2 linked regions of the Caenorhabditis elegans genome follow. The protein of the gene in region 1 interacts with the protein of each later gene in a pairwise test. Each region holds a gene or a part of one and is shown in the gene's direction. Other genes may lie near its edges. The genes, in order: rike-1 and ubc-13.

Region 1 (4,904 bases):
CGATCCTGATAGCAAGTTATACTTTGCTAGGTCATTTCTGAATTAAAAATAATATTTTTCAATTAAAAAGTTCAATACCTGCTAGACTTGTTGTTGCCATGTTGCTTGCGTACCAAAGACTTGTTTCATTCTGCAAACGTTTTCAGAAGCTTCATAATTTTCATAAATAATCAACAGCTATATTTTCAAAAATGGATAAAACTACAATTGTTATTTTCTCTAAATATTTGTACTGTGAGTGAGGATTTTCAACCTATATATTTACCTTTTCGTCAAAATAATAATTGTTTTCACAATATCGTCTCTTTAATACATTATATATTTATCAAATTTTTCAGATAGCATCTCTGCCCGAAAGGAGTGGTTCTTCATTTCCGAGGACCGCCACCGCAACAACGTCGGAACTACATAATTTGATATACTTGTTCACAAGAAAGCATTCATATAGGATACCTTGAAAGCTTCCACTGATAGACGGTAAGTTGTGTTTCCAGCTAATCCAATAAATGTGTAGTCGCGCAAAAATGCATCAACCAAAACTGTTTGAGATGATTTTTCCGTTTGTTGTGAACCTGAAATCGTAAAACTCAAATTGGTAAGATAACAATTATATTGTGAGCCTATCATATATTCTATATTCTGAATGTTCAAAATGGCCAGAGCTCGTACTTCTCATAACAGTTACAACTAATCGTTGTCTTGTCACAATTTCTTCATCGGAATCATGTTTCCATCGAATTCGAATTGCGTCATTTCTAACCTCAATTACATCGACACCATCACCTTCTCGATCTTCATCGATATCGTTTTCTCCTGCTAATAATTCGAAACTATTTATAGAACTACGAGCTTATTAACTTACAAACGAGTATTAAGTACGGAATAAAAATCAGAAAGTGTATGGGAAATCGCATTCGAATTAGATTGACGTTGTGAAAACAGAAAAATTAGATTGGATGAAGAGAAAAGGAGAAATCATCGTGTGTCAAAAAGGATAATATTGATAGAATTCTTTCTTGGTCTTTGAAAACGAGAGAAGAGAAAAATAACGAAAATTTGATATCGGTAGGAGAAAGGCATTTTATCGTGTCGCAATAAAAAAAACCTTGAATACAGTAATTCAAACCTGTCCTAATTTTTAGATATCTGTAAAACGAACTGGAAATAAATGAGAAATTCTGTGAAAGGTGGATATAAAATTGCAAATTTCCAACTTTGGCTAATTTCCCTGATCGAATTTTCTCTAAATTTAGAACTGCACAAAAAAGCGAAATTAGAATATGGTGAATGGTTTCAAAATGAGCGTGGCTTCTTCATTAGGTTCAAATAAGTATTAGAAAGAGTTGGGAAATTTTGATTTCAAGCAATTTTTTAAAATCTGAGAAATTTTATATGAGGAAACAGAACATTTCAAATAATGCTAAAACAGTTACTTAAAAGCAATGATTTTCATCATTTTTTAGGATATTCTATTTCCTTTTTTAACCGTGGCAATGTCCGTATGTTTCTCTCATTCTCTTTGTCGACGGATAAACGCGCCTTGCTCATTCTTATTTTATAATATCTTCTAGTTTTCTTCCGAATTTTCGCTGTTCATTGTTTTGTTCCTGTGTTTCAAAATAAAACTATTTCAATATTGCATGTTTTCGAAATTTCTCCAATCGTCAAAATTGAATCACTTTTAAATCTATCGAATTTCTTTCGGATTCGAAATCCAAATGGGTTTTGATAAATTAATGTCAAGCTTCGCGGCCTAGAATCCTTGCGTGTGCAAATGCGCCCTTTCGAAGTATCCGGATATATCCATAAATAATATTTATTTTCCGCCGAAAATTTTCCGGATAGAAATTTATTCGCGTGCCGCACACCACTCATCCGCGCGGAAAATATCTTATTCTTATTTTATTTTAGAAAATCCTTTTGCAAAATCGAATGCGCAAGTTTTCCCTAAAAATCGATAATTTCACACACATTGAACCTCTTTTCAGACAAGACGGGTCAACAGTTGGTTCAAACACAATAATTTTCAAGAAATGTCAATTGTGAATACAACAGAATGCATAATTTGTTATAATGAATATGGTGAGCACATTAATGAATTTCGAAAAAAACTTCTAAATTTCAGACACCGAACTCCGGAAACCTTGCATAGGCACATGCGGCCACTCCATATGTGAAAGTTGCAAACATCAAATGGTCTCATCAAAATGTCCACAGTGCAATCGAGAAGAAGCCTTCGCAATTACTACAATCAATTATCAAGTTTTAGAATTAATAAAGCACTTTAAAAGTATGCAAAGTGGGGGAGTAGCGCCACAGGCACAATCCACAAATGTAAGTATAATTTCCTTTTTCTATAAAAACCCAGAAAAAGTTTTTGCAGAGCTTAGACGAAGGAACATGCAGTGAGTGCACCCTACATTCCAAGAAATTACGAATTTGTAAAACGTGCGCCGTCGGAAAAGGAGTTCTGAAGCAAGCCGAAGGCAAAAAAGAATTAGTATTAGTTGTTGGAGATGATGGAGTCGATGAAGCAATGACACGAGCTAAGAAGATGGCGATTTGCGGTGATTGTGCTTTGGATGGGGCCCAACACGAAGGACATCAGACAATGCAGCTGGCTCTTTTGAAAAATAGTATCGAAGATCAAGCACCGACTAATCTCGGAAATAAAATCAGTAAAATCAGTGAGCTTTCGAAGCAGGTGTGCGATGATATCTCTGACAAATTTGCGGCGACAATTAAATCACTTCAAAATTACTTCGAAAAGCATGAAAAGTTGTCTCCGCCCGGAAGAAAGACTCACTTCAACAACATCGAAGCTGAAATGGAGAAAATAAGTGATACGATAGCTCTTGTCAAAGATGCTGGAACACGATTGGATTTTTTGAATAACGAAATCGAAGAGCACGATCGAATCGTTTTTCAAACTAAACAACCTGTTACTAAGGCAAATTTCGTTTTCGCTAGTCAGGATCCCGTATTGGTTGCAGGTAAAAGTTATATTTATGTTGTGCATTCTTGAACGAAAAAAGCTCATCGCGACGCTCGCGTGTCGTTCGTTGTTATCATGCTTTTGCATTTTATACAGACTCCTCCCGCGATTCCAGTCTAAAAAATCTCTCAAAATTATTCTTTTTTTCCAGATCGAAAGCAGAGTGCCCGTGAACCACTTTTGATTGGAGTCTACGATCCTAAAAACAGAGGATGGACGCCAGTTGGGCGAATGCCGAACCCAAAATCAAACTACGCTGTTGCCTGCAGCAAATCTCAAATTTATATAGTCGGAGGAATGAATAACGGATCATGGTTGAACAACGTTGAAATGTATGATCGGGAGAAAAACTTGCGAAGAGATGTGGGTTATTCTTTCAGCTTTTAAAAAATTCTCTAGAATTGTAAACTTTTAAAACAAATAATTTTTATTGATTTCAACAAAAATGTCAAAGTTATTACAGTGTAATAAAATGAAGCGTGGAAGAACACGAACGTCGGCGGGAATCCATAACAACAAAATGTACGTGGCCGGTGGATATGATAGCACTTATATGAATTCTGTGGAAGTTTATGATACTGATCAAGGAGAGTGGAAGGATGGACCATCGTTGCAAAGGCCTCGTGCCGATGCAGCGGTTGTTCCATGCAATGGAGAGGTTTATGGTATGATTTCGATTAATTAGTTGATTAAAAAAGGTTTAATTTCAGTGTTGGGAGGTTTCAATGGAAAAGAATATGAAGAGAAGATTGAGAAGCTGTCAGAACCTGGTCAAAAGTTCGAAATTGTGGGCGACATGCAAGGAAGTCGCGCCGGATTTGGATCGTGTGCCTTCAGAGGAAGAATCTACATTGCTGGTGGATGGAGTAACTCGAGTAATACGTTGAGATCAGTTCGAAGCTATGATCCATTGACGAAATCATGGAGAGATGAGCCATCGTTGAGCAAAGATCGAAAATATTTCACTCTTCACTCGACGAACGAAGCTATTTATGCTATTCGCGGATGTGCTGACAATTGGAGCTTAATCAATGAAGTCGAGCGATTTGATCCAGAAAAACGTGCATGGGAGATTATTAGTTGCTCCGGACCAATGGTTGGAGCCGGTTCATCTGCATCGAATGAGCAAGCTATTACATAAAATCGTGTATCTTATTTTCATAAAAACAGCTGTTGTATGAGCTGTACTCGTTGATTTTCGGTTTGGCGTTAACCTTTGAGACCAATCAGTTTACTGTTTTGGAGACCCGAAGAACTCGGGGGATGTCCAATTGGGGGGATTACCAACTCGGGGGATTGGCCCCGCCCACAGAACCGGGGCTTGCAATACGCCCATTTTTGCAACTGCCGCACGGTTTTGAAACTGTATTTTTCTTGTTAATTCTCGCTCTATTGAGAAAAATACAGTTTCGAAACCGTGCAGTTGCAGAAATGGGCGTATTGCCAGCCACGGTTCTGTGGGCGGGGCCAATCCCCCGAGTTGGTAATCCCCCCAATTGGACATCCCCCGAGTTCTTCGGGTCTTCTGTTTTGTGACTGATTACCAAAAATCCAACTTGCTCATTATTCATATCTAGCTGAAACCTAGTACTATTAAACGTATTATTTAAATTTTAGGATCTTTCCATTTTTCTGTCTCTCTGTAAAATGTAATTATGAATTTCGTGCCCCCAAAAACTTTTTATAATTTTTAACTCATTTTTTTCGCATTTAAAGGCGTAGGAGCTATTTTCACAATCAAAGAAGGGCACGAAATTCATAAGTACCCTTTTTCGATCTCCTGCGCTTTACGTGTTTTTTGGTTCTTTCATCTTTCATCACCCCATCAATAACCAATAAGTGTTATTGTTTCAATTCCAGACTCGTGTTAAATTGTTCATTAATATAATTTATCCTTCTCTCAAATCAC
Region 2 (5,594 bases), on another chromosome or scaffold:
CAGTTTGCCAATTTTTCGGTTCTAATCCGGTTTTTAATAATTTATTTTACCTTTTTTCTAGGTTTTCCAGGAAATAAATCAGTTTAAAAATGTGATTTTCGAAGATTTACGGTCGAAAACTGGCATTTTTAGGCTGAAAATATCGATTTTCACCTTAAAAACCTCCAAAAACCAATTTTATCGATTTCGAAACGTTATTATTGATGGAAAATACGTAAAAATGGAAAATAATACCCATTTTCAGCTTTTTCAACGCCGAAAAATCAATTTTCGGCGATATTTTCTACTAAAATTACCGAAAAATGTGATTTTTCCGCAAAAATATGCGATTTCATAACAGTTTTCGTTGGGAAATGCACAGAAATCCAATTTTTCTAAAAATTTCGCAAAGGAATTGATTTTTTACTTAAATTACCGTTAAATTTATACATTTTTAGTATAAAAATTAAGATTTCGCGTGGATAACGAGAATTTACAGCGTTTTTTTGCTGAAAATATCGATTTTCTCGAATTTAGCGTTTTCAAAATGCTCAAAACGTCGAAAATTCAGTTTTTGGCATTATTTTTGATGGAAAATACGTCAAAAATGCCAATTTTCACTCTGAAATGCACATAAATCCTATTTTTTCGAAATTTCACTGTTGAATTGATTTTTTCACTCAAACTACCGGTGAATTTACATATTTTCAGATGAAAAACTGAAAGCTCCCGTAGAAAACGCGTCTTTTTCAACATTTTGGTGCTGAAAATATCGATTTTCCGCAAAAATAACGAATTCGTAATGCCAAAAACGTCAAAAATACACATTTTTGCGTTTATTTTTGATTAAAATTACTCCAAAATGTCAGTTTTCTGCAAAAATATGCGATTTCATCACTGTTTTCCATGGAAACTGCACAAAAATCCAATTTTGCCATTATTTTGCACCGAAATCGATTTTTTTCTCCAAAAAAATTATTCGAAATCGTGAAAAGCGAGCGTTTTTTAATGTTGGAAATCACAAAAAACCCAATTTTATCGATTTTTGGCCGACGTTTACGTTGAAAACTCGAGGAAAACAGTTTTTTAATTGAAAAATTCATAGTTTCCCGCAGAAAATTAGATATTTTAACTTTTTGTACTAAAAAAAATGGCATTTTTCCGATATTTCGAGAAAAACTTCGATTTTTAATTAAAAAACCTTGAATTATTAGTCTTTTTTCTTTTATTTCAGCCAAAATTTATACATTTATACATTTTTTTCTTCAGTTTTCACCATTTTGCACTCAAAAATCCGTCTAATTGTTGAATTTTTAACAGAAAAACAGTTTTTCGCTGGGAAAAGCTCTAAAATCACTCAAAAACCATCAAATTTATTCCACTTTTCCATGGAAACTGCACAAAAATCCAATTTTGCTATTATTTTGCACCAAAATCGATTTTTTTTTCCAAAAAAATTATTCCAAATCGCTAAAAACGAGCATTTTTTTGGTTGGAAATGCCAAAAACACAATTTTATCGATTTTTGGCCGATGTTTACGTTGAAAATTCGAGGAAAACAGTTTTTTAAAGTAAAAATTCATAGTTTCCCCTAGGAAATTAGATATTTTAACTTTTTTTTTGCGGAAAATGGCCCTTTTCCGATATTTCGAGAAAAAACTTTGATTTTTAATTAAAAAACCTTGAATTATTAGTCTTTTTTCTTTTATTTCAGCCAAAATTTATACATTTATATATATTTTTTTATTCAGTTTTCACCATTTTGCACTCAAAAATCCGTTTTTCTAATAGAAAAATCAGCTTAAAAGCCCCAAAACACACAATAAAATTTCTTGCAGAATGGCCGGGCAACTTCCGCGTCGAATCATCAAAGAGACACAACGACTTCTCGCGGATCCGGTTCCCGGAATATCGGCAAATCCAGACGAGAGCAACGCCAGATACTTCCATGTCATGATAGCCGGGCCAGACGATTCTCCATTTGCTGGTGGTGTCTTCAAGTTGGAGCTTTTCCTTCCGGAAGAGTATCCGATGGCTGCACCGAAAGTTCGATTCATGACAAAGATCTATCATCCGAATATTGATAAACTCGGCAGAATTTGTCTCGATATTCTCAAGGGTGAATAGATTTTCCCCTTTTTTTGAAAAATTAGTGAAAAAATTTTTTAAAAAACGGTTTTTAGCGTTTTAATCAATTATTTTTAGAGAATTTTCTGAATTTTCATCGAAATTTGCTATTTTTACACTGTTTTAACACAAATTTATTGATAAAATTCAGAAATCTAGCTTTTTTGGATATTTTTACTTGAAATTTTTCGAAAAACAGCCCATTTTCAACAATATTCACGAGTTTAGATGAATTTTTTGTATTTTTTAATATTTAAATCAAATTTAGCTCTTTTTGAGCGTATAAATCCGAATTTCATGCTCATTTTTCGCATAATGAGAAAATAATCCAAAAAATATGAATTTTTACGCATTTTAATGGGAAAAATGGATCAAAAACAGCTTATTTTGAGCGTTTTTTGACAAAATAGACGAAATTTCGAGAAAAATCGTGTTTTTTTTTGTTCTAATAAATATATTTAGGTGCATTCGAATGCGAATTTCTCGAAATTTAATTTTAAAAAACCCTCTTTTTGTGAAATTTTTTTCAAAGAAACTGCGAAAATGTATCATTTTTGCGCATTTTTAACCAAATTTCATCGAAAATCTCGGAAAACGGCGTTTTTTTGGCAATTTTTATTCAAAATTGCGAAAATTTCGGCGAACCCCCAGTTTTCGAGGGACATTTTCAATTTATGATCGAAATTAGCTATTTTTAATCATTCTAAAGCGAATTTCTTGTTAAAATTGCTGAAAAATCTGATTTTTTAGTAATTTCAATGGAGAGATAGTAAAATTCGATTTTTAATTACAAATTTCGTGTAATTTCTTCGAAAACTTCTTTATTTTTGCGCATTTTTTCCAATTTTTATCGAAAAATTACTCCAAAAGAAAGCATTTCGATAGATATATCTCATTTTTTGCGCATTTTAATCAAATTATCCATAGAAAAGTTCAATTTTTCGGCTATTTTAATGCGAATTATCTCGAAAAACTGCTCATTTTGAGCTTTTTCACATGAATTTCTCGAAAAAAAATGCCCAATTTTTCAGATAAATGGTCGCCGGCTCTTCAAATTCGCACGGTTCTTCTGTCGATTCAGGCTCTTCTTTCGGCTCCAAATCCGGAAGATCCACTGGCAACTGATGTCGCCGAGCAATGGAAAACGAATGAGGCCGAGGCGATTAAGACTGCAAAACAATGGACGATGAACTATGCTCGTCAGTAATATATCTAGGGTCTCGCCACGAAATCGATGAAAATTTGCAATTCTTTTGAAGCCAAAATCGAAAATTCGACCTCATGTCGATTTACGCCGATCGTGTACTCCCCGAGGAGAAGTTGGAATGATTTTTATACAGTTTTTGACCTTTTTAACATTAAAACTATCAAAAAATGGCTCGTAAATCCGATTTCCAGCCGAAAACTGCTTTTACGCCACTAAAAATATCGATTTTCACGGAAAACACTGTAATTTACGGCTAAATTTGCTATATTTAAGTAAAATTTCAGGAAAAGTCGACGAAAACGGCGAAAAACAATACTTTTAGCGCAATTATGGAGCCAAAATCGAAAAATCGAACTAAAAATCCCTGAAATTGGCGCATGTCGATTTACGTCAACTCGTGTACTCCCCGAGGAGAAGTGGGGGTGAAAAAAACGGGTTTTAAGGTGAAAATTATTGATTTTGGCCTATTTTTTCTAATTTGAACGTTTAAATCATCAATTTTTGCTCGGAATTATAGCTTTTTTGATAAATTTTTATTTTCGAATTTTTTTTAGTTTTTCAACCTTTAAAAAATCGAAAATAAAAATTTATCAGAAACACTATAATTTAGACCTAAATTGGTGATTTAAAGATTCAAATCAGGAAAAAATAGGCCAACATCAACAATTTTCGCCTCAAAATCCATGTGCTTCACCCCTCTTCTCCGCGGGGAGTACACGAGCTGCGTAAATCGACATGTGCCAATTTCGGAGGTTTCTAGTTCGATTTTTCGATTTTTGCTCCAAAATTGCGCTAAAATGATTGATTTTGGACCGTTTTCGCATCGACTTTTCCACAAATTTTACATAACTATAACAACTTTAGCGCTAAATTCCAGTTTTTCAGTGAAAATCGAAGTATTTAGTGTCTTAAAAGCAGTTTTCAGCTGGAAATTGAATTTATGAGCCATTTTTTTGGTAGTTTTAATGTTAAAAAACTGTATAAAAATCATTCCCACTTCTCCTCGAGGAGTACACGGGCTGCGTAAATCGACCCTTCGAATTTTCGATTTCGGCTCTGAAAACAGTAGATTTTCCTAGTTTTCGCTGTGGGACCCAACAATAAATATGCATTTTAATAAATTTTTTTTAACAATTTAAAAAATAAATTAATAATTTTTTTTCAGAAGCCTGATCGTCTCCGAAGCTCGCCTCTAGAACAACTACAAAAAATCACATCAAACAAAAAAAAATTCGAAATTCTCTCAGCCTGCTCTTTGTCCCGCCTTTTCCCGCCCCCTTACGAACTTCCAATAAATTGTATGAATTGCATAAAAATCTCGATTTTCCCCATCTTCTACTATATATCTAAATATTGATTTTTTTTGTCCCCGCCCGGTTTTTTGTCTCGAAATTCTACAATTTCCTCCCCATCCCATTGAATTTTTTAAAAAATTTTTTTGTCTCTGTTGTCTCACGATCCTCATCAAACCGTCGTCGTCCATTTAATTTAAATTCTTCTTTTTTTCTCCCAGTTTCCAGAAAATCTTCTTCCATCGAAATTGATTTTTTTTTCTCTTTTGGAAATTTTGATGATTTTTTGAATAAAGTCGTTATTTTTTTTGAGAATTTTTGAGAAATTTTTGAAGGCATTTCCAGCAGTAGCCTGATGGTTTTCAACCGGAAAAAATGCAAGAATAAATAGAAGAATAAATAGTAGATATTGTGATAGAAATTTTAAAAACTGGAAACTGCCTGAATCGCCGATTGCCGAAAGTGAGAAATGCCGAAAAAATGCACGCTGATATTACTGTAAATTTAAAGGGACACACAGTATCTTGTTGCATGGGTTTCATCGCGATGTGTTCAACTGTAGCTTTTTGATTTTTCTTTCGATTTTTCGAATTTTAACTGTGTTTTTTCATGTTTTTCTTGCGAAATTTGAAGCAATTACCGATAAAAAATTTTTAATTCAGATTTCTGCAAACATGGACTCGAAGCCACTCACCTATCTATCCATGCAGTGCATTATCAAACACTTGGAGGCGAATAAAAGGTGAGACAAACAGTTTCTGTAATTAACTAAATACATAATTCTCAGATTCCGACTGGCCGCACAATGCCCATCTCTTGTAAAGATCGAAAAATCGCAACCTCTGATTATCAAGAAGCTGGAATTCAATCGTAGTACAATCTCTGTCAATGGAGTGAAATACAAACTTGGTGCTAGGAACAATGTATGAATTTTTGCCATTCTAGACGAGGGTGTCGGTTTTAAGTATTTTACTAAATTCTTTTGAAAA

Evidence for each region.
Region 2: the proteins of rike-1 (region 1) and ubc-13 interact in a two-hybrid assay, tested with the Caenorhabditis elegans proteins (2 studies listed by BioGRID).

The regions. Positions count from the first base shown.
Region 1 is NC_003283.11:14,542,951-14,547,854, reverse strand, and holds rike-1 (RING-type domain-containing protein), read left to right. Parts: upstream 1-2,033; coding exon 2,034-2,082; intron 2,083-2,125; coding exon 2,126-2,334; intron 2,335-2,374; coding exon 2,375-2,993; intron 2,994-3,146; coding exon 3,147-3,358; intron 3,359-3,449; coding exon 3,450-3,660; intron 3,661-3,705; coding exon 3,706-4,136; downstream 4,137-4,904. Other genes in the region: C53A5.13 (Fibronectin type-III domain-containing protein), read right to left, coding at 79-130, 454-572, 670-816, 863-914.
Region 2 is NC_003282.8:2,921,915-2,927,508, reverse strand, and holds ubc-13 (Ubiquitin-conjugating enzyme E2 13), read left to right. Parts: upstream 1-1,817; 5' UTR 1,818-1,818; coding exon 1,819-2,098; intron 2,099-3,137; coding exon 3,138-3,305; intron 3,306-4,478; coding exon 4,479-4,486; 3' UTR 4,487-4,918; downstream 4,919-5,594. Other genes in the region: fbxc-45 (F-box C protein), read left to right, coding at 5,280-5,347, 5,393-5,528.